Macaca fascicularis: one gene and its partners. The protein of the gene in region 4 purifies or fractionates together with the protein of the main gene of each other region. This does not show direct contact. Links are inferred from orthologs where the notes say so. Each region holds a gene or a part of one and is shown on either strand. Other genes may lie near its edges. The genes, in order: CDK9, C1QBP, RRP1B, DDX21, RSL1D1 and DKC1.

Evidence for each region.
Region 1: the proteins of DDX21 (region 4) and CDK9 purify together in Homo sapiens (affinity purification with mass spectrometry; 3 studies listed by BioGRID and IntAct, with this or other methods). This does not show direct contact. The link is inferred for Macaca fascicularis from reciprocal best matches to the Homo sapiens genes DDX21 and CDK9.
Region 2: the proteins of DDX21 (region 4) and C1QBP purify together in Homo sapiens (co-immunoprecipitation; 3 studies listed by BioGRID and IntAct, with this or other methods). This does not show direct contact. The link is inferred for Macaca fascicularis from reciprocal best matches to the Homo sapiens genes DDX21 and C1QBP.
Region 3: the proteins of DDX21 (region 4) and RRP1B purify together in Homo sapiens (affinity purification with mass spectrometry; 3 studies listed by BioGRID and IntAct, with this or other methods). This does not show direct contact. The link is inferred for Macaca fascicularis from reciprocal best matches to the Homo sapiens genes DDX21 and RRP1B.
Region 5: the proteins of DDX21 (region 4) and RSL1D1 purify together in Homo sapiens (affinity purification with mass spectrometry; 3 studies listed by BioGRID and IntAct, with this or other methods). This does not show direct contact. The link is inferred for Macaca fascicularis from reciprocal best matches to the Homo sapiens genes DDX21 and RSL1D1.
Region 6: the proteins of DDX21 (region 4) and DKC1 purify together in Homo sapiens (co-immunoprecipitation; 3 studies listed by BioGRID and IntAct, with this or other methods). This does not show direct contact. The link is inferred for Macaca fascicularis from reciprocal best matches to the Homo sapiens genes DDX21 and DKC1.

What each region holds. Positions count from the first base shown.
Region 1 is NC_088389.1:16,210,954-16,215,268, forward strand, and holds the start of CDK9 (cyclin-dependent kinase 9), read right to left. Parts: upstream 2,926-4,315; 5' UTR 2,811-2,925; coding exon 2,719-2,810; intron 2,258-2,718; coding exon 2,176-2,257; intron 1,439-2,175; coding exon 1,348-1,438; intron 1,010-1,347; coding exon 843-1,009; intron 743-842; coding exon 571-742; intron 413-570; coding exon 264-412; intron 1-263. UniProt on the Homo sapiens protein: Protein kinase involved in the regulation of transcription.
Region 2 is NC_088390.1:5,502,398-5,506,622, reverse strand, and holds the start of C1QBP (complement component 1 Q subcomponent-binding protein, mitochondrial), read left to right. Parts: upstream 1-1,342; 5' UTR 1,343-1,437; coding exon 1,438-1,669; intron 1,670-2,252; coding exon 2,253-2,403; intron 2,404-4,225.
Region 3 is NC_088377.1:3,386,337-3,389,962, forward strand, and holds part of RRP1B (ribosomal RNA processing protein 1 homolog B), read right to left. Parts: intron 3,620-3,626; coding exon 3,556-3,619; intron 1,927-3,555; coding exon 1,733-1,926; 3' UTR 1-1,732. UniProt on the Homo sapiens protein: Positively regulates DNA damage-induced apoptosis by acting as a transcriptional coactivator of proapoptotic target genes of the transcriptional activator E2F1.
Region 4 is NC_088383.1:77,478,948-77,483,317, reverse strand, and holds the start of DDX21 (nucleolar RNA helicase 2), read left to right. Parts: upstream 1-1,537; 5' UTR 1,538-1,610; coding exon 1,611-1,697; intron 1,698-4,370.
Region 5 is NC_088394.1:12,521,562-12,524,260, reverse strand, and holds the end of RSL1D1 (ribosomal L1 domain-containing protein 1), read left to right. Parts: intron 1-1,389; coding exon 1,390-1,710; 3' UTR 1,711-2,160; downstream 2,161-2,699. UniProt on the Homo sapiens protein: Regulates cellular senescence through inhibition of PTEN translation. Acts as a pro-apoptotic regulator in response to DNA damage.
Region 6 is NC_088395.1:160,877,313-160,880,938, forward strand, and holds part of DKC1 (H/ACA ribonucleoprotein complex subunit DKC1), read left to right. Parts: coding exon 1-72; intron 73-283; coding exon 284-468; intron 469-1,082; coding exon 1,083-1,147; intron 1,148-1,342; coding exon 1,343-1,469; intron 1,470-2,261; coding exon 2,262-2,392; intron 2,393-2,487; exon of another isoform or gene 2,488-2,619; intron 2,620-2,801; coding exon 2,802-2,945; intron 2,946-3,626.

The DNA of each region.
Region 1 (4,315 bases), on a different chromosome or scaffold from region 4:
GCAGTGCCCGCCACAGATTGGCACATACCACATGCCAGGCCCAACCCTGATATACGTCCCATTTCTGGTTCACAGAAGAGAAACCCAGCGCTGACTCAGTTGTTCTGCCCAAGGCCACAGAATGGCTGATGGAACCAAGACTGGCGCATAGCCTGTGTGGCTCTCAAGGGCAGGCCCTGTCACCAAACCAGCCTCCCTTCCAGAGAGGAGCGCTCCCTCCATTCCACTCCCCACTCCTCTGCCGGGGGACCGGGACCCCGTACCTCAGGGGTGATGGAGCCGCAGAGCTGACTGATGAGGGCGAGTTGGTGCTGCTCCGTGTTGCCCTGCATGATGGGGCTGCGGGTCCACATCTCTGCCATGATGCACCCAGCACCCCACAGGTCAATGGGGGGGCCGTAGTCCCGCTCCCCTGGGAAGAAGAGCGCACCAGGAGGGCCCCTTGAGCCCGGAGGCCTCCTGAGACTCAATGCCCCAGGGCCGGCAGCTCAAGAAGCCCTGGCAGTGGGGGGGCGGGGGCCAGGTAGATGCCTGGCCCTCACCCCCCTCGGCCCGCTCGGGAGTCCTCACCGAGCAACAGCTCCGGGGGCCGGTACCAGAGTGTCACCACACGGTTGGTGTAGCGGTTGGGCTGGCTGTTCTTAGCCAGGCTGAAGGCCCGGGCCAGCCCAAAGTCTGCCAGCTTCAGGACCCCGTCACGAGTGATAAGCACGTTAGCAGCCTTCATGTCCCTATGCAGGATCTGCAAGAAGGGCAAGAGTGGCTCCTTCAGTGATATCCACCCGGGAGTGGGAGCCAAGGCCAGCCCAAGCCTGGGTCCTCCTCCCAGCTCTCGCCCCCACCTTGTTCCTGTGGATATAGTAGAGGCCGTTAAGGAGCATCTGCATCACCCTCTTGATCTCAGACAGCGTGAACTTGACCAAAACATTGCTCAACAGCCCAGCAAGGTCATGCTCGCAGAAGTCGAACACCAGGTATATACTGCCCTTGCAGCGGTTATAGGGTGAAGCTGAGGCAGGAATACAAGGAAGAAAAAGTCAAGAAAGCCACACCCAACACACTTTCCCACAACCAGTTTCTTTCTTCCTGCTCCAACCCATGGGCACCCAAGCCCTCCAGAGCATCTGTCTGTTCCTTCCTTCACTGGTCAAATATTTTCTGAGTGCCTCTTCTGGGCCAGGGCAGACCCCGAGGAAGCACCAGCTACGATGAAAGAGGACCAGAGAAAGCAGTCACCATGGGTCCATCTGAGTTAAGAGGAGGCAGTTTAGGTGGGTCTAGTTCCAACTTTACGAACAAAACCTTAGGCTACAAGTGTCATCTCCTCATAAGATCCAAACAACTTACCTTTGGTTCGACAAATCTCAATCAAGTTGACCACATTCTCATGTTTTAGAAGTTGAAGGATCTTGATCTCCCGCAAGGCGGTAATGGGGAACTGGGTGGGAGAGAGGGGAAAGTGGTCAAGAGTGAGCGCAGTACAGAGCCCAGCCCTGGGGTCTATATTGAGAGGCAAGTTGGGAGACAGAGCAAGATCATGGGCTCTGAAACCAGCTGTCTCAGAAGCTCTGCCTGTAAAATGGATATAGTAGGAGCATGCACACTTCAAGGAGATAATTTGAGACAACAAACTGAAACAGCAATACTTTGCTATTAGCCACTAAATGCTCGGCGGTTTCAGCCTTCAAACTTCAGCTCTATGGCTGTTTCGTTGGCAACAAACATGACGATTCAAAAATGTCCTCGCTAAAGCACATCAGGAAAAGGAAGGTTTATGGGACGTTGTACTTGAGCTAAGATGGGGTGGAGGGACCGCTCCTTTTAAACACATTAAATAACTGAGTATTAGTCACTTTTCAAAAATTTGCATGCATATGTATCTTTCTTTAACATTAAGCAAAATTTAACACTAAAAAAAGGTGTTTAAAGGCTTCCTAACTTCGTGAACTAAAGTGCACACGATGCATGCATCAACTCCCCCTCCCGGTCTCACCCATAACTGCCTAAGAATGAAGCATTTAGTTTTAGGGTGGAGGCCAAATTCCCTGGAAATTTCTGAACTACTACGAAAAAAATTAAATCTCAACCTGAGACTCCTAGAAGCAGCAGGGTGGAAAACCGACCCGGGGTCCTGGGCAGTTAGACGGCTGGCCCGCACGCCCGATCCGTACTCACCCCCTCCTTCTCGTTTTCCATCAGCACCTTCTTCAGAGCCACCTTCTGGCCGGTCTTGCGGTGCCTGGCCTTAAACACCTCCCTGCAGGCGGAAAGGGAGACCCGAGAGCTCATCAGGCGATTTCCGCAGGGCCCGCCCCTCCCCCACTACCGGAGGAGGGGCAGCAGCAAAAAGATTCCCGGGCGGGGCTGGGGTAAGTACCCAGGGCACGCGGCTACCCCGCCACCCGGCACCCTGTCTCGTTCGGAGCTTCTGCTTCCTTCTCTCAGTCCCTTCTCCTCACTTGGGCGTCTCTTGGAGAGATCCCGTTCCCCTCACGGGCGCCTCTCTGCAGCCCCTCCCCGCCCCCACCACCGGCCTCAGGCTCCTCCCCACCAGCCGGCTCCTTCAGGCCGGGGCGGGGTGCGGCGCGGCCTAAAGACCAGTGGGCAAGCCCGGGGACAGACGGTTTCTCTACCAACTCGGGCGGGGCCCGGGGCATCCCGACGTCCGCCCTAGGGGTGCAGGCCCACGGCTCCCGGCCCCGAGGGGCCCAGCCTTACCCGAAGGTGCCTTGGCCGATCTTGGCGAGCTTCTCGTATTTGGAAACTTCATCACAAAAGGGGCACTCCACCGAGTCGTACTGCTTTGCCATGGCCGCCTCCAACGCGCCGCCGCCGCCCCCAGCCGCTGCTGCTGCCGCTCCCGCTCCGGGTCCCGCCGCCGCCGCGCTCCAGGCCCCTCCGCGGCCGCGCCACTTCCGCCTCCACGGCCACTTCCGGCCTCGCGGCGCCGACCCCGCCTCTTCCGCCCGCCGCCCGCCGCCAGGCCCCCTGGGACTTGTAGTTCCCGAGAGGCCAGGGGGAGCCGGAGCTGCAGAGGCGCCTCCGCCGCCGCCGCTGCCCCCGCCTCCGCCGCCGCCACTACTGGCGGCGGCCCCGATCGGGGGCGCGGGGAGCCGGGGCGCCGGAGCTGGGGCTCGGGGTGGCGCGTCCCGCTGCATGGGCCCGGGCCGCCGCTGCTGCCGAAGCTGCTGCCGCTCTGGCGCCCGATCCGGGGCCAGCCGCAGTGCCCTGCTCCTCCTCCTCCGACGGCGCCGCCTCCGCCGGGCTGCGCGGGGCGGCGGGCGGGGGGGCAGCCCCCGAGCCGCGGCCTGGGGGCTCCCTGGCCGGGCCCGGGCCCGGGGCGGCCGGGCGAGGGGGCGAGACGGGAAGAGCCGACTAGGAGACGGCCCGAGAGCCCGGGAGGGGGCGCGTTATAAAGGGGGAGGTGCCCGGCCTCGCCTTCCCCTCCTCCTCCGCCCGCCCCCGCCCTCCTCCCTCCCACCCTCCGCGGCCGCACCTGCCGCCGCCGCCACCGCCCGCCCGCCCGCCCGCTCGCTGTCCGCCGGCCGCCCTCGGCGCGTCACCGCCCGCGGCCCCTCCTCCGCCTTCGGAGGTGGGGCCCCGCGCTCGGCACCTGGCTGCGGGCGCCCAGCCGCGTGCCTCAGTTTACCCCCACATGCCGGCTGCCGCGGAGAGCCCCTTCCTCCCCGGCTCGGAGTGCCCCCCCAAGAGGCGAAGGCGGGAGGCGCGGAGGGAGCGTCCTCCGGCCCTGGGAGGAGAAAACGGCCCCCGCCTCCGCCTCCCCCGGTCCCCGCCACCCTCCGTTGACATGGCAACCGACGGCCGCCAGGGGGCGCGGCGGCACTGGAGGCGACGAGCAAGCAACGCCCGGGCCTTCTATCGCTGGAGCCTGGCTCTCCAGGAGGCAGGGATGGGACCCGCAGGACTCGCGCCTTCGCCGAGTCGCGCCAGAGCTGATCAGGCCCCGGGTCAATAATCGCAAAAAACAGCTACCATTTTCTCAGCACTCTTTGTGTGCTCAGGAAGTGCTGGGCGTTCCCGCCGAATCCTGAATCAACAGCCCCATAGTCAGGATCACTAACCCATTTTGCAGAAGAGGACATTGAGGCTCAGAGGTGAGGTCATTTGCCCAAGGTCACACGGCGACAAAGCTGGGTGTCTGACTGTGAAGGGGATTCTCTTGACTCAGGCTATCCGTGGTTGGGCCAGGAGGAGAGCACTGGGGAGGCTTGCTGTCCTTATGCAGGCGGGAGCTCACCACTCACCCCCCCATCTCCCTCCCCCATCGCGCCCATCCCTTCGCCTGCATCTTCCT
Region 2 (4,225 bases), on a different chromosome or scaffold from region 4:
TAAATGATACAAGCCGGCTTCTTGTCCCCAGAAAAATGATGTTCCATTAGAACTTGGATGCAGGGTCGGAGGTGCAGAGAGGGAAGGTCACAGAAATTACTCATGGATCCTGCCCTTCAGGATGTCACAGTCTGGTTGGGTTTAACCCGGTTAAAACCAGCAATGCCAGGAGGTTTCTGTTGAAGAGAATGAAGCCTAAGGGCTGGGTGCGCACAAGCATGAGTTCTAAGCCGATGGAAAAAAGGAGGTTCTAGGAAGGCCTCTTTCAGGAAAACCCTGACCTCTTCCTTTGCTCTTACAACAATCAGCACAGAAGAGTTCTGTGACCAAAGGTTTGGGTTTTTTCCCTCCACACTAAGCAGCAGACACCAGCGGGGTGTCCTCCAATTCAATCCCAACATTATCTACCTGGAGACAGTGTCAGATCCCATGAGACAGTGTCAGATCCCATAGGTTGAGGGCTCAGTCCCCAAGACCGCCCCGACCTTCAGACAGCAATGGCAAGTCTGGGCCTCTGAAACTTCCGACCAGCCCGCTTCAAGTGGGGGTTCCCACGACCCCCCTCTTTGGGTTGTATTAACTCACTGGAGCAGCTCACAGAACTCAGGGAAACACTTTTACCGGTTTCATATAAAGGATATTACCAAGGATACAGATGAGGAGATGAGCAGGGTGGGCAGTGGGGAAGAAGCTCCGATCTTCCTCGCCGTCCCTGGGCCACCACCCTCCAGGAACCTCCACGTATTCAGCTATCAGAGGCTCTGCAAACCCTGTCCTCATGGGTTTTTATGGAAGCTTCTGGACATCAGCATCCCTTCCCCCAGGGCATAGGGTGGGACCTTCTCTGGGAAGGGACTTAAGACCCATAATCAGAAATGTGGGAGATTAGAGTCCTGCATTGGGGCGGGTGAAAGGAGGGCGGGAGAAGGGGAGAGTGAGAGTCTGTTTCCTGAGGCCTAACACACCCAACATTATCACAGAACACTGTAACGAGGGCTATGGGAGTTACGACCCAGGAACTGGGGATGAAAACCAATAAATACATAATATAACACCACAGCCTCCTAGAGGAAAGTGACCGTGTAAGGGGCTGGTGAGAGCTGGGGGAAGACAAGAGTGCATTCCACACAGCCCAAAAGCCTGGCGTGCCTTGAAAACAGTAGGTGGAAGCGGCCACTAGAAAGAATTAAACAGCTTCGGACAGAGGACTCAGGCCAGCGCAGCAAGAAGGCTCCGGAAACCGGATTCGAGGCTTCCCGGGCTGCACCGGAGGCCTCCAGCAGAAGGCGCGATTCCGCCTGGGGCCTTAGGTCCTCAGTGCGCCGGCGCGGGAAGCGCTTCCGGGCAAGGGCGGGGCTTCCGGCGGCGCTTTAGGTCGCGGGGTACTTGGGCCTGGATTGTCCTTTGCATCTGCACGTGTTCGCAGTGGATTGCGCGATGCTACCTCTGCTGCGCTGCGTGCCTCGTGTGCTGGGCTCCGCCGTCCCCAGCCTCCGCGCTGCCGCGCCCGCCTCGCCTTTCCGGCAGCTCCTGCAGCCGGCGCCCCGGCTGTGCGCCCGGCCCTTCGGGCTGCTCAGCGTGCGCGCAGGTTCCGAGCGGCGGCCGGGCCTCCTGCGGCCTCGAGGACCCTGCGCCTGTGGCTGTGGCTGCGGCTTGCTGCACACTGAAGGTGAGGTTCGCGCACGCGGGCCAGGGGTGTGGTTTGCGGTTCACGGAGGGGAAAAGACCAGGAGTGGGGCCTGCAACCGACCTCCGAGGTCTGGGACATTTTTCCATTGATTGGCAACCAGCGGGTTAAACCCACGTGTGATCATATTCCCCCCACCTCCCCTATCCACCAGTTTCATTTTCTGTTGGTAGGGGGGTGAATAAAATTAAATACTAGAGGGTACCTTCATCCTTAGTCTTATTCTCTCGAAAGTGGACTTTTGGGAAAGCCCAAGGTCGTGTTTGAAAATAGCATACGATACAACTATCGTTTGGCAAGTGGAAGAGGATGATCGGAAATTCTTCTGCTTTATAGCGGAAAGTGGTAATGCGTTCATTGTTGGAAATCACTTTTCCAGCATCAGGCTCAGCTTCCCACTAATATTATGGTATTTTTACAGATAAGGAAACTGAGGCTTCTAGAGTAACTGTAATAGCAGAGAGATTAGAAATAGTCCAGGTTTCTGGCTGCGATAACCAGGGTAATAGTTTTATGTTTTAGACTAACTGGCTTTCCTTTTTATGTATATGGATTTCTTTTCTAGGAGACAAAGCTTTTGTTGATTTCCTGAAGGATGAAATTGAGGAGGAAAGAAAAATCCAGAAGCATAAAACCCTCCCTAAGATGTCTGGAGGTTGGGAGCTGGAACTGAATGGGACAGAAGCGAAATTAGTGCGGAAAGTTGCCGGGGAAAAGTAAGTACTGGTCTGGGGATCCCAGGGCACCGACTCCCTTAACCTTGCAAGACCCGTCCTGGGTCATCCCTAGAAGAGCCTTGAGTTCAGGTGTGGATAAATGGTTTTCAAGAGAGTGAAGGATTCAATTGGACAGCTTCATAAGGTCCAGGCAGTCCATTCACTGAACACAAATTTGCTGTGGGCTGGTTACTAAGGAGACAAAAATGTAGCGCAAAAAAGTACTGACAGAATCTGTTTGATCTCTGATTTACAGCGCTGATACAGTAGCACCCTGCTCTCTCTAATGTTTAGCTTGGGTGAAAATGCAAGGCATGTAACTTATATGTAACAGGATGGGGTTCCACTGTAGTAAGGGCTGCCATCAGAGGCGGGGAGTTTGTGACCTAAGTCAGGTGCCCCACCTTCTCCTAAACTGTTAGTGTTTACACTTTTCTGCATTATAGTCATCCATAATCTCATTACACAGATAGACATTTGTCATCTTCCAGATTTTTAAATTGAGGCTGGGTGCAGTGGCTCACGCCTATAATCCCAGCACTTTGGGAGGCAGAGACGGCAGATCATGAGGTCAGGAGATCGAGAACATCCTGGCTAACACTGAAACCCTGTCTCTACTAAAAATTTTAACAGGGTGTGGTGGCAAGCACCTGTAGTCCCAGCTACTCAGGAGGCTGAGGCAGGAGAATCGCTTGAACCCCCGGGTTTCAGTGAGCCGAGATGGCGCCACTGTACTCCAGCCTGAGGGACAGAGCAAGACTCCATCTCAAAAAAATAATAAATAAATAAATAAATTGAATTTTCTTTATAATTGACCTTATGATGTATATGTAATTCTTTTTTAAAATCACAGCTTTAATGTGATTTAATTTATATGGCATAAAATTTACCCATTTATTGAAGTTTATTAAATTAAGTGGTTCTTAGTCCTCACAGAATTATGCATCGGTTACCACTACCTAATTCTAGAACATTGTTGTCAATCCCCAAACAATACCTATTAGCAGTCACTCATTATTCCTCCCTCTAGCCACCCCAGGTAATCACTAAGCTACTTTATGGATTGCCTCTTTTGGACATTTCATATAAATGGAATCATACAATTTGTAGCTTCCTCCCCACCCCACGGAGTCTTGCTATTACCCAGGATGGAGTGCAGTGGCACGATCTTGGCTCACTGCAGCCTCTGCCTCCCGGATTCGGACAATTCTCCTGCTTCAGCCTCCTGAGTAGCTGAGATTACAGGCATGCGTCCAGTTAATTTTTGTATTTTTAGTAGAGATGGGGTTTCGCCATGTTGGCCAGGCTGGTCTCAAACTCCTGACATCGTGATCCGCCCTCCTCGGTCTCCCAGAGTGCTGTGATTACAGGTGTGAGCCACCCTGCCCAGCCTGTTTACATTTTTAATTGTTGGGTTGTAAGAGTTCTTTAGTTTTGACCGGGCACGGTGGCTCACACCTTTAATCCCAGCACTTTGGGAGGCCGAGGCAGGTGGATCACAAGGTCAGGAGATCAAGACCATCCTGGGTAATGCAGTGAAACCCTGTCTCTACTAAAAGTACAAAAAATTAGCCAGGTGTAGTGGCGGGCGCCTGTAGTCCCAGCTACTCAGGAGGCTGAGGCAGGAGAATGGCATGAAGCCCAGAGGCAGAGGTTGCAGTGAGCCGAGATCACGTCACTGCACTCCAGCCTGGGCGACAGAGTGAGACTCTGTCTCAAAAAAAAAAAGAATTCTTTAGTTTTTCTGGGTATAGTGATCTTACCAAATTAATGATTTGCAAGTATTGTTCCCCATCTTGTGGGTTTTCTTTTCACTTTCTTT
Region 3 (3,626 bases), on a different chromosome or scaffold from region 4:
GAGGATCCTATCCAATGCAGCTATTAAACCATGCAGCCACCACAGGTATGTCGTACGTAAGACCTCATTACAGTGACGATTTAACAGCACAAGTTAATTTTTTCATGGCTCATCATGACAAAACGATTACAGAGTAGGCGAAGAACAGAGTGAGTGCTTTCTTCTCACCAGGGCCTTCATCAGTGAGTCAACTGCTCTTGACGCCAGCAAGTCAGTCTGATGTTCCCAGGTGAAACCCGCCCTTGGCTCCGTGAGCGAATGAGACCGAGGTAAACCCAATGCAGCTCTGCAACCCCAGGGACTGAAGCCACGTTGTCCAAAGCCATAGCTGGGACCTTGGAGAACCTGGGGCCCTCTGCTGGGAGGCAGCAGTGAAGGGGACTGGCCGGCTTTTGGTGAAAAACCAGGACTCCTGTATGGGGCGCATAACGGGAGGCAGGCGGCTTTCACCTCCAGGCCTGAGCAGAGCGCGGCTGGCTGGGAGAGCAGCATGCCAGCCCAAACCGTGCGCCCGTGCCCTCTTGCTGCGCAGGCGGGAGCTGCGGGAGCTGCGGGAGCTGCGGGAGCATGGAGAAGGCGCGCAGCCTTGGCGGCTCTCCTCCGCAGCCGCTCACTCTGAATCTGCAGCTTCTCCAGCTCTCAGGCCCAGGTCAGACGCTTTCTCAAACAGATCGAGCAATCGCTGCTCAAAAGAAGGCCTCATTTCTGTTTCCCCAACGAAAGCCTGAGTGCCTTCCGCCCGTGTTTGTCACGAATTTACAGGAGAATTGTCTAAACTCTTAAGCGCTCGCTTCCGCGTTTGAGAGGAAAGGTCGCGGAGCGGGAGCGCAGGCTCCAGATACGCACGGCAGCCTCCAGGGAAGATGGGGAGCTGCCCTGGAGCCGGTCAGGCAGTGACTCGGCTGGAACGTGGACGGAGAGAGAGAGAGACGCAAGGGCTTGGAGGAATGAGTGTGCTCCACGCGAGGACCTCAGCAGAGGGCTCAGCACGGGGCGGGGTCCTGGGTAAGAGCTGGGGGCTGCGCTGGCCTCCCGAGAAGACACTTTGGGCTTGCCGTAGAGGTAGGAAAACAGGGAGGGAAACCGGGTAGCGGGGAGGAGAAGAAAAAGCCCCCCGAACACAGAGCCTCTTCTTTCCTCACCCCTACCTGTCCACACCCCCAGCTGAGCACATGTAGAAAAACTATGGTATTGCTGATTCTGTGACAAGAATCTTCCCATCGGTAACCTGCCGAACACCCACAGAACATGGCAATCAAGCCCCACATGCTTTGAAAAGAAAACAGATTGTTCAGACTAACAGAAACCAACTTAGTACAGCAAATACAGGAATGAGGACCAAATTCCGCAGAACTGGGAGCTCAACAGGAAGTGCAATTCCACCTCTCATGTACCAACAGCACTGACTGATTTAAAGTTCCGACCAACGCGCTCTCCTCAGCTTCAGGGAGGGTCTCACTTCCCACACCAACGGGAATCACTGAGGTTACCCAAAAATGTAACATCCTGGAGAGCTCGAACACAAACATGGTTTGTAGCAAAAGATTCAACCAAGACGCCCGCAGCCGCTACAGAGGGGCCAGGACGCAGCAGCCCGCGGGCACGTTCAGAACCTCGTGCACACAACTTAGGGGAACGTAGAAAACCATAAAAAAGGCCCCACATTCGGAAAGGTATAATTTATAGCGTATTCTGTACAAAAGCAGTCTTTTACAAGGGACTCTGCTGCCCCTCAGAAGAAATCCACAGCCCTGGGCCGTCTCCTCGGTGTGGCGGTCAAGGGCTTCTTGGCCACCAGGGGCGAGCTGGCCGGTGAGCTGGCGGGGGTCTTCAGCACCCCGTGGAGGGGCCTCTGCTCAGGGTCGAAGGCCACTCGGGAAGGGCCCGTGGGACTGACCAAGATACTCTTGTCTGTCTTCTTGAATTCTGTCCCAAATGAGAGCAAGGCCCCATGTTAAGCAGGTCCAACAGCTGTCCCTCCAACAGCTCGGACAGTGTCCTGCCTGGGTGCCAACCCTGCCCATTTGCTAGGACGAAGCAGGGCCATCTCAAGGCCCTGCAGACAGCAGGCCTGGGAGCCTTCTGAGGGAAGGAGGGCAGTGAGGCCATGTCCCCTGCCTCAACTCACCCTCCCAAGGCCGCCTGTACAGACCAAGCGGAGCTGCTGGTAGGGTGGCTCCTGGAAGGGTGAACATTGAGGGTGGGGGTGTTTTGGACAATGAGTGAACTAGGCATTTGAGTCTGGGACGAATCTGCTATGTGGAGGGCAGGATTCGTCCTGCTCATCCAGTTGTAAAGGCTAGGTGAGCTCCTCAGGCTCTCTGAGAGTCTCTTTTCCCTAAACATACACGCTCACACTTGTGCATGCACACGCACACACACACATACTGGCACATGTACACACACTCACACATACACACACACACAATTATTTGCAGTTCCCAACAAGAGTCAGGTCCTAAACTCGTTATAATACCTTTTTTTTTTTTTTTGCGATGATGGAGTCTCACCCAGTCTGTCACCCAGGCTGGAGTGCAGTGGCATGATCTCGGCTCACTGCAACCTCTGTCTCCTGGGTTCAAGCAATTCTCCTGCCTCAGCCTCTTGAGTAGCTGGGACTACAGGCTCTTGCCACGACGCCCAGCTAATTTTTATATTTTTAGTAGAGATGGGGTTTCACCATGTTGGCCAGGCTGGTCTGGAACTCCTGACCTCGTGATCCGCCCACCTTGGCGTCCCAAAGTGCTAGGATTACGGGCATGAGCCACTGCGCCTGGCCTATAATACTTTTTAAAACTTTGGTTTCCTTTGTAAAAGCAACTCGAATGGATGGCACCGATATGAAAAGTATCAAGATAGGGGTTACCCTTCTCCGTCCCCCAGGAAGCAAGTTGTTCCGAAGTTTCTCAGAGAGACAGCTACAGCTGATGGACCACTACAATCTCAAATGGCCTCTCTGTGGGACGGCTTTCAGTATTTAGAAAGACACTTGGGAGAACGGCTTTTTGGATCACGTCTCTCCGGGTAGCCTCTCTTAAGAGGTCCCAGGCAACTGGCTGCCCGCTCACCATTGGCACCCCACTCACAGCCCTTTGAGGACGAGGGACACACAGGTGCTTCCTTCTGACTCAGAAATGGGCAGTGAGGGGTGGGCTCGGTGGCTGATGTCTGTAATCCCAGCTCTTTAGGAGGCTGAGGCAGGCGGATCACCTGAGGTCAGGAGTTTGAGACCAGCCCGGCCGACATGGTGAAAAAAGACAAAAATTAGCTGGGCGTGATGGCATGCGCCTGTGATTCCAGCTACCTGGCAGGCTGAGGCAGGAGAATCGCTTGAACCCGGCGGGGGACGGAGGTTGCAGTGAGCCAAGATCTTGCCACTGCACTGCAGCCTGGTTGACAGAGCGGTGAGACTCTGTCTCAAAAAAAAAAAAGAAATGGGCAGTGAGGAGCTCGGACCCCACCTCTCTCCTCAGCGCCTGTGGAACCAGGCTGCGAGCCTCGCCAGGAGCCGCAGCTGTGCTCCAGAGAAACCTGCCGCCGGCAAAACCCACTTACCTGCAGTCATGTTTCTGTTCAGCCCGAAGGTGACTTTCTTGGAGCTGGACGGTGTCTTGTTTAGCTGCAGA
Region 4 (4,370 bases):
GGTTGAGGCTGCAATGAGCTGTGATCACACCATTGCACTCCACTCAAGCCTGGGCAATAGAAGGAGAACCTGTCTCAAAAAAATGAAATAAAGACTGGGCGCTGTGGCTCATGCCTATAATTCCAGCACTTTGGAAGGCTGAGGCGGGCGGGTGGATCACCTGAAGTCAGGAGTTCGAGACCAGCCTGGCAAAGATGGTGAAACCCCATCTCTACTAAAAATAGAAAAATTAGCTGGGTGTGGTGGCGAAGGCCTGTAATCCCAGCTACTAGGGAGGCTGAAGGATGAGAATCGTGGAGGTTGCAATGAGCTGAGATCGCACCACTTCACTCCGGCTTGAGCAACAGAGCTAGACTCCGTCTCAAAAAAAAAAAAAGGCTGATTGTCAATGTCAGGTATTCTATGATTCTAACCCATTTTTGAAATTTATTTTTTCATATATATATTATATATATAATATTATATATTTATATATGTATATATAAAGACATAGGGGTTTTGCTATGTCGCCCAGGCTGGTCTTGAAGTCCTGGCTTCTTTGGAGGCTGAGGCAGGAGATTCGCTTGCGCCTGGGAGGCAGAGGTTGCAGTGAGCCCAGGTCGCGCCATGGCACTCTCTAGCCTGGGTGACAGAGAAGGATACTCTTGTCTCAAACCACAAGACTTCTCTCTCTCCCGCTAGTCTATAAAGCTTCTTGAGGATAAGGCTTTTGTGTCTGCTAGTGAATCCTAGCCCTGTTTGTCCTACCTGACACAGTGAACGCTCATAAAATGTTTGAGTGCACGCATGAATGACCGACTAGAACCGACTGAATTTTTTTTTCCTTCAGGCTCCTGAGTCTGGCCGACACTTTCAGAGTAGACGTTTCCAAGAGATGATTAAGAATACACATCTGCGCCGGGCGCGGTGGCTCACGCCTGTAATCCCAGCACTTTGGGAGGCCGAGGCGGGCGGATCACAAGGTCAGGAGATCGAGACCACGGTGAAACCCCGTCTCTACTAAAAATACAAAAACAATTAGCCGGGCGCGATTGTGGGCGCCTGTAGTCCCAGCTACTCGGGAGGCTGAGGCAGGAGAATGGCGTGAACCCGGGAGGCGGAGCTTGCAGTGAGCCGAGATCGCGCCACTGCACTCCAGCCTGGGCGACAGAGCGAGACTCCGTCTCAAAAAAAAAAAAAAAAAAAAAAAAAAGAATACACATCCGCGAGTCTGCACGTGCAAACTCGAACAATATAACATAAAGCACTGAAGATGCTCCACTCAAAAGCAACTAGAAGCCTTCATTTTTCAGGCTGGGGCTAGGGGAAATCTGGCCAGTGTTGGAGAATACAAAGCTAACCTTTGTAATTCCTTGCGGTTTTACCGTTCCATAGGTGCCTTCTAGACCAAAGGCCGCCAGTGGTCAGTCAATGCACTAAATTTAGCCACAGTCACAGGCCGTTGCTTTGAATTTACCTCGCGGAGAGCAGTCTTTCCTGTGCTTCCTGCTTTCCCCGGAAGTGCCTTGCTACGGGAAGTGACGAGAGCCGGGTGGACAGAGGCGGGGGAACTACCTCTTCCTCTCCACGCGGTTGAGAAGACTGGTTGACCTGGGCAGCCTGCGCTGAAGATGCCGGGAAAACTCCGTAGTGACGCTGGTTTGGAATCAGACACCGCAATGAAAAAAGGGGAGACACTGCGAAAACAAACCGAGAAGGTGAAACGGAGGGACCTGGGGCCAGGAGGGACGCTGAGTGGAGCGGAACCCCGGGGTGCGGGAGAGGTGCCCGGGCTGGGATCGTGAGAGCGCGCGGCGGGTAACAGCGCGTCCAGAGACCCGGCGTGGGTCTTGACGGGCGGTCGTCCAGGAGTGGTGCGCTCCCAGGCAGTGGATGCGTCTGCCCGACCAAGCCGGGGCCGCCGCGCGCTGACCTCTTCCTCTGAGATTAGAGGCATCCACATTGTTCCAGGAACTCTGGTAGAGAGGCCCTATTGGAGCTCGGGAGAAGGCCGGGTGTCCCACGTGGTCCCCGGCGACTGGGCGCGCCTCACACAGTGCGCAGAGTTGGACATTCAGTCAGGCTCCACGTTGCTGGCTGAGACATAACTCCCGGCTTGAGCGTGCGCGAAGGGAATTACAAGTCAAGTCAAAGTGGGGACTGGAGGCAGGATGCGGTGGCTCATGCCTGTAATTCCAACACTTTGGGAGGCCGAGGCGGGCGGATCATGAGGTCAGGAGTTCGAGACCAGGCTGGCCAACATAGTGAAACCCCGTCTCGACTAAAAATACAAAAATTAGCCGGGCATGGTGGCTCACGCCAGTAGTCCCAGCTACGCGGGAGGCTGAGGCCGGAGAATTGCGTGAACCCGGGAAGCGGAGGTTGTGGTGAGCCGAGATCGCGCCACTGCAAGTCAACCTGGGCAACAGCGAAACTCCGTCTCAAAAAAAAAAAGTGGGGACTGGAGCTTTAGAGTAGACTGGAGATATCTTAACCTCATCTGCGCACGTGGGCGGCGTCTTTAGTGACTTTTTAAACTCTAGTAAGGGAAGTACAGTTTGTTTTCCGGTAAGCCGCCCTGAGAAGATGACGTAACTCAGTTCTTCTTAGTATTATATTGACTAGATTTCCCATGGAAATGTAAAGGCATGTGTTGCGGTGCTGAGTGTACACCATGTTTTTTTATATAGGCCAGCAGTGTGCAGTAGTCTTAACCTTGACAGCCGTCCCTTGCTTTGCTGTTGCTTCCTAGTGATTTAACTTGTGACTGAGTCTCTGTTCTGAGATAAGTCAGTGGGAAGAAAGATTGTTCTTGGACTTAGGTTGTACACTACTTAGAATGAACTTTACTTGTTTGTTTCCCTGCCTTTTGATATGGAGCTCTTACAATAGCAATATTTTAGAATCGTAGGAAGCCGCGGCAGATTTGTACTCAGGTGCAAGAAGTAGTGGTCCTGGTTTACATCGCATCAGTCAGTTGCTTTCAATTTGGCATGCTCAAATCCAGAGATACATGACCAAACTCTGTTATATTCCAAAAGAGACCACCAGGATGGGAAACTTGGTCTTATTTGGTGGAACCAAGGGATGAAAACGAATAAAATTTTGGAAGGAGACTAGCTTGTTTTTTGTTGGCAAGGAGATTATTTTTAATCTATGATTTGAGAACAGAGACCAGGCCTGACGTTTCCAGGAGGCAGAATTCAGTGTAATATGTATTTCCAAGATTGTTCTGGGGCTCTGCCAGAATAGGTTTCTAAGGAGGCTACAACATGTGTCTAATTGCTTTCAATAGTATGAAAAGTTGTAGGGGGTCAGAAAGTTCAAATAGGAGCCACAGTCATCTGTCTTACTTGGTTCTGAGGTGTCACTCCTTCCATATTCTTGTAACTTATTTATTTTATTTTAAATTAAGTACATCTTTTTTACACAAGGGTGATAGACTGAGTTTTTATAACTTTTTGTTTCATAAAGTGTCTCTTTTATTTTATTTATTATTTGTTATTTTTTTTTGAGATCGAGTTTTGCTTTCGTTGCCCAGGCTTGTTCTCCATTGGTCAGGCTGGTCTTAAACTCCCAACCTCAGGTGATCCGATCGCCCACCTCGGCCTCCCAAAGTGCTGGGATTATAGGCATGAGCCACCGCGTCCTGCCCTTTTATTTTTTGTAGAGACAGTCTTACTGTCACCCAAACTAGAGTGCAGTGGCATGATTATAGCTAACTGCAGCCTTGAATTCCAGGGCTCAAGCAATCCTCCCACCTCAGCCTCCTAAGTAGCTAGGAGTATAGGTGTGTGCCGCTACGTCTGGCTAATTTAAATTTTTTTTTTTTTTTTGAGACAGTCTTGCTGTGTCGCCCAGGCTGGAGTGCAGTGGCGCGATCTCAGCTCACTGCAACCCCTGCCTCCCGGGTTCAAGCAACTCTCCTGCCTCAGCCTCCCAAGTAGCTGGGACTACAGGTGCATGACCATGCGTGGCTAATTTTTTTTGTATTTTTAATAGAGACGAGATTTCACTGTATTAAGCCAGGGTGGTCTCCTTCTCCTGACCTTGTGATTCGCCCTCATTGGCCTCCCAAAGTCCTGAGATTACAGGCGTGAGCCACCATGCCCAGCCTAATTTTTAAAGTTTTTCAATAGAGAAAGGGTCTTGCTATATTGCCCATGCTTGCCTGTAACTGCTGGCCTCAAACAATCCTCATGCCTTGGCCTCCCAGAGTGCTGGGATTACAGGCATGAACCACTGCACCTGGCCCTAAACTGTCTTTATATAAATTAATTTGCTCTTGTGAGATAGGCAAAGTGCAGAATTCCTGTTTTGGAGTTAAAGGCTGCAGTGAGCTATGATGATGCCTCTGTACCACAACCTGGGTGAAAAATAGAAATTGTCTC
Region 5 (2,699 bases), on a different chromosome or scaffold from region 4:
ACTGGTCTTACACTTCTAGGGTCAAAACAGTCATCCCACCCCGGCCTGCCAAAGTGCTGAGATGACAAGTGTGAGTCACCACACCTAGCCCCAACCAGTTGGCTTTTTTTTTTTTTTTTTTTTTTTGCTTTGGTTTTTTTTGAGGATGGAGCCTCAATCTGTCACCCAGGCTGGAGTGCAGTGGTGTGATCTCAGCTCACTGCAACCTCTGCCTCCCTGGTTCAAGCAATTCTCCTTCCTCAGCCTGCCAAGTAGCTGGGATTATAGGCGTATACCACCACACCCAGCTAATTTTTGTGTTTTTAGTAGAGACGGGGTTTTGCACGTTGACTAGGCTTGTCTCGAACTCCTGGCCTCATGTGATCCGCCCGCCTCAGCCTCCCAGAGTGCTGGGATTACAGGCATGAACCACCGCACCCAGCCACCAGTTGGCTTTTACACAGAGAATTTGGGAACCCCTGCCCTACACCATGTGCCAGGGATGTGCAGCTACAGTTGGAGGACTCAGGATTTGCTCCCATGTGTGTCTGCTGTGCTCCTCATGGTGCTTCCAGGAGTCTCTCCCCTCAGTCGTAGGGAAAGGTGGTTTTCCTCTGACTGGACCAGGAAGACCTCTGGGTCTTCACAATTCTTTTTTTTTTTTTTTTTTTTTGAGACAAGGTCTCACTTTGTTGCCCAGGCTGGAGTGCAGTGGCATGATCTCGGCTCACAGCAGCCTCCACCTTTCAGGCCCAAGCAATTCTCATGCCTCAGCCTCTTGAGTAGCTGGGATTACAGATAAGTGCCACCATGCCCGGCTACTTTTTGTATTTTTAGTAGAGACGGGGTTTCACCATGTTGACCAGCCTGCTCTTGAACTCTTGGCCTGAAGTGATCCACCTGCCTCAGCCTCCCATAGTGCTGCGATTACAGACATGAGCCACTGCACCTATCCCTCATTCTTAATAGTGAAATACAGCTTATCTCTGTCATCATACTGAGGTGTACCTTTTGGGGGTTAACTAATAAAAACAGTACCTTGGCCATGTGCTGAAAAAGAGTAACTTGGCCGGGCACAGTGGCTCACGCCTGTAATATAGCACTTTAGGAGGCCAAGGCAAGTGGATCACCTTAGGTCAGGCGTTCGAGACCAACCTGGCCAACATAGTGAAACCCTGTTTCTACTAAAAATAAAAAAAATGAGCAGGGCGTGGTGGCACGTGCCTATAATCCCAGCTACTCGGGAGGTGGAGGTTGCAGTGAGCTGAGATGGTGCCATTGCACTCTAGCATGGGCAGCAAGAGCGAAACTCCGTCTCAAAAATAATAAAAATAAAAACAGTAACTCCTGGAGTTAGAGTGTCAGGTGTTGTGGCTTTTTCTGTATTAAACTTTCTTTTTTTTTTCCTAGATTCAAAAACATGCCACAGGAAAGAAGTCTCCAACAAAGAGTCCTAATCCCAGTACACCTCGTGGGAAGAAAAGAAAGGCCTTGCCAGCATCTGAGACCCCAAAAGCTGCAGAGACCCCAGGGAAAGGCCCAGGGAAGAAGCAAAAGATCAAAGAAGAGGCAGTGAAGGAAAAAAATCCTTCACTGGGGAAAAAAGATGTGAGACAGACTCCAAAAAAGCCAGGGGCCAGGTTCTTCACCACTCTTAGTAAATCTGTGAGAAAAGCTTCCCACACCCCCAAAAAATGGCCCAAAAAACCCAAAGTACCCCAGTCGGCCTAAAGTCAGTGATTCAGCCGGAAGGAAACTTCAGTGCTGCCTCCAGAGCTTCTTAGAAATACTCAGCTCTTGACCCTCTTTATAAGTAACCTTCTGCAAACGTCAGGCCTGGACTTCGATTTTTTAAAACCTCCATAAGTAGTCCAGGCACGGTGCCTCATGCCTGTAATCCTAGCACTTCAGGAGGTCGAGGCGGGTGGATCATAAGGTCAAGAGATTGAGACCATCCTGGCCAACATGGTGAAACTCCATCTCTACTAAAAATACAAAAATTAATTTGGCATGGTGGCGAGCGCCTGTAACCCCAGCTACTAGGGAGGCTGAGGCAGGAGAATTGCCTGATCCTGGGAGGCAGAGGTTGCAGTGAGCCGAGATTGAGCCACTGCACTCCAGCCTGATGACAGAACGAGACTCCATCTCAAAAATAAATAAAAATAATAAAACCTCCATAAATAATTTTGACACATGTTCCTGGGTATAATAATATATTTTTAAATTGTCCTTCTGTGTATTTGCTAATACAATAGAGGAAAAATAGAGTGCTTCTCTGTGGTGGTTCAGCACTTTGGGAAGCCAAGGTGGGAGGATTGCTTGAGCCCAGGAGTTTAGGACTATCCTGGGCAACTTGGTGAAACCCCATCTCTACAAAAGAAAAAAAAATAGTGTGGCATGGTGGTGTGCACCTGTGCTCTCAGGCTGAGGTGGAAGGATCAAGTGAGCACAAGAGGTCGAGGCTACAGTGAGCCACCATCACCCCACTGTGCTCCAGCCTGGGTGACTGTGAGATTCCGTCTCAGAAAAAAGTATAACGTTGCTTTGCTTCTGAGTAGACACACTGTTGGCTTTCCAAATCACGTGGGTCTGACTGGAGGTCTGGGATGTCACCCATCACATACATTTGTGGTCATCCCCAAAGTGGCCCAGTGAGGGCCTCACTGTATGAGAATACAGCTACAGAATTCAGGAGAAGCATGAGTTTCTTGGCTCTCATG
Region 6 (3,626 bases), on a different chromosome or scaffold from region 4:
AAGGACAACACACTATACACCTCTTGCATGTGGTTCAAATCCTCTGAAGAGAGAGATTGGGGACTATATCAGGTAAGTGTTGGGAGGAGGCACTGTGCAAACTTACTTTCTTTTGAAAATGCTTTCACACTAGCTATTCAAGAAGGCAGTGACATGCCAGAATAGCTTTGTCTTGAATATATAACCTGTACCCACAGTGAATTCTTTTTCTTTTAACTCTAGATGTGTTGTTTCATTGGCGCACAGGAGTGGGTTATACATTAATTTTTTTTTTTCATTCTAGGACAGGTTTCATTAATCTTGACAAGCCCTCTAACCCTTCTTCCCATGAGGTGGTAGCCTGGATTCGACGGATACTTAGGGTGGAGAAGACAGGGCACAGTGGTACTCTGGATCCCAAGGTGACTGGTTGTTTAATCGTGTGCATAGAACGAGCCACTCGCTTGGTGAAGTCACAACAGAGTGCAGGTATTTGGGAGAGGGAGGGAAGGACTGGCTAGAGTGGAAAGCTTTCTGTTATTTCCCTTCTATGTTTTGTCTGCTGGAAACTATTTCTTCGTTAGGGAAAAAAAAAATCCTAAAGCAGAGATACTGTCGGTTTCTGTGTACCTTCTGTCCCCTGCCAGATCTTGGTGGTCCACCCTTTTTGGAATTCCACATACTAAGCATGTATTCATCAAGCTGACGGGATCCATTTGTAGCCTGGAGGCAGAACTCTGTCCAGGTTCAGCTCTCAGCTTGTCACTCTAGGCTTCTCACTCTGTGCCACTGCTTCTGCCTAAAGTATCCTTCCTTCATTTTTATCTGAGAAAAGCCTGCTTATCTTGCAAGGCTTTTTCCAGGCAGGTTCTACACTGGTACTCCCAACTGTCCCTGTTAGTACATTGAATTCCCAGTGAGAGAGTATCTTCATTCTTTCCTACATCATCACCATGAAATCTGTCTTCATGCAGATTTTATAGAAACACAAGGTCAAGCTGCCTGCTTTTCCTGTTGTGCAAAATGGGAGTGACTGAGCATATAAGAAATATGAAAAACAGAAAACTCAGTGGCCAAACCTGACTACTCTTGTCATTTTTCAGGCAAAGAGTATGTGGGGATTGTCCGGCTGCACAATGCTATTGAAGGGGGGACCCAGCTTTCTAGGGTAAGTCTGCAATTGTAGGGAGGACACCCTTTGTTGATTTGGATCTCTGAGCCCCTAAACATCTGGAGATGGGTTAGCTGTCCTGGCTGACTCCTTTTGTGCCCTTTTCAGTCAGCTGCCACAGCCAGCCTGGACCAGTGACTGCACATTTACATTCTGATGAGGGTGTTTGTTTTGCTTTGTGTTTGTTCTTAGGCCCTAGAAACTCTGACAGGTGCCCTATTCCAGCGACCCCCACTTATTGCTGCAGTAAAGAGGCAGCTCCGAGTGAGGACCATCTACGAGAGCAAAATGATTGAATACGATCCTGAAAGAAGATTAGGTGGGTCATTAGGTCTGTGAGTGGGTATGAACACATTCTTCAGGATTCTGTTCTCTTGTTAAAAGTAGATGCCCTTGAAGTTGAAGACTTTCTGAAACCTGCGCTACAGCTGGGATATTGTCTGTGGGCAATAGTTTTTATTATCTTTTGTTAAAAAGTGAACAGTGCCTAGTAAAGTGAGATGGCTTTTGTACTTTTTATGATGACTGCTTCTGCTGGAATTGAAATATTTTCATTCTGCATTTGTGTAGTTCGGTGCTTTGTTCAAAGGTGTTTTCAGCAAAGTATGTTTTGCATGTGTTTTTTACTTGTTGCAATTTTGACTGCTTAGAAGTTTCTGTTGTACAAAACATCATTTAAAAGGTTTTTCTGTTGAATCCAGAGTATTCTCCAGATTGAAGCCTACGTGTAAAATGCTACCAAATGGCAAAAAGCAACAATAAACAGTTGGATTGTACTTTTCTTTTAAACATAGCAATACTTAGCAGGGCTGCTCAGATTAAGTTGTCAGAAGTAAATTTAAGACAATGCCTATTTTCCGCCCATCCATGAAACATACCATGCTGAATATACCTGCAACTAAGTGTTAAAAATTCTGTTAATATCAGAATTACAGATCTTTAAATACAACAAATGCTTATATTTTAAGAAGTGGTTGCCCTTGGCATATTGTGTCAGTCATGCCCTCTGTCTGTCACCTCTAGTCTTGATGGCTCAGATGAAGGTTAACCATTTCTCAACCAGTGATGTATTTATAGTAGGTGCTGCTTTTCTTTTGTGTGTATATCTTAGGAATCTTTTGGGTGAGTTGTGAGGCCGGCACCTACATTCGGACATTATGTGTGCACCTTGGTTTGTTATTGGGAGTTGGTGGTCAGATGCAGGAGCTTCGGAGGGTTCGTTCTGGAGTCATGAGTGAAAAGGTATGTGTTACGGGGCTAGAAGTTTTAGAGCTTGTTCTTAACATCTGCCAGCCTTTGGTGGCACTCCACTTGCTTCATGTTGTGGGAAAGGCGCTTTCCAAAGTGTTGAGTTCAGTCCAGGGCAGCTTCCCTGTTCTGTTAATTAAACTTTGGGACATTAAAATGGACTAAGGGAGATGATTGGGTAGGAAGTATTATTCTATTCATTTGCCTCCCAGCCTACAAAAATGCCTGCTTGGGATCTAATACTTCAGTGGTTAAAGATGCCTGGAAGAGCCAGGACTGAAGAGGCTGAAGACATAATGAGCTTGGACTAGTAGACAAGTTACATTCAGTTTTAGGAAGTTTGGGATCTGATGGGCCGAGATGCAAAAAAACTGAATTATTTTCATACATGGCTGCTTTTCAGGACCACATGGTGACAATGCACGATGTGCTTGATGCTCAGTGGCTATATGATAACCACAAGGATGAGAGTTACCTGCGGCGAGTTGTTTACCCTTTGGAAAAGTTGTTGACATCTCATAAACGGCTGGTTATGAAAGACAGTGCAGTAAGTTCCGGGTTAGGAGTTTATATTTGGACAGAACATACTCCAAAGATGAGGCTTGCTCTTTTTATTGTTTTCCTTGGGTTTTATTTATTTATTTTTTCAAGTCCAAACCAAGTATACTAATTTAAAGTAAAAGTTTAATGGTAGGAATACTTAAAAATAAGGCACATTAGGCTGGGCACAGTGGCTGATGCCTGTAATCCCAGCACTTTGGCAGGCTAAGACAAGAGGATCACTTGAGCCCAGGAAGGAGTTTGAGACCAGCCTGAGCAACATAGTAAGACCCTGTCGTCACAAAAATAAAAAATAGCCAGGTGTAGTGGCACATGTCTATATTCCCATCTACTTGGGAGGCTGAAGTGGGAGAATCGCTTGAGCCCAGGAGATCAAGGCTGTGAGCTGTGTTTTTATGATGATCAGAGAGTTGGCCTTTTATAAATTAAAGCATACTCTCTTTTCTCTAACTTGAGGGATAAAAATTTCTGGATATTTAAAATGTTTGTAGTTGGTAATTATTTATATTCAAATCTTGTACAGATGTTTGCATATTTTGTATGTGTATACGCTGTAATAAATACTGAAAGATGGCACCATAATAGTTGAAAAAACTCAGTCACAAAACAGTGGACAACATAAATGTGATAACCTCTCCTTATCAAACCATTGGCTTCTGGGTGAATG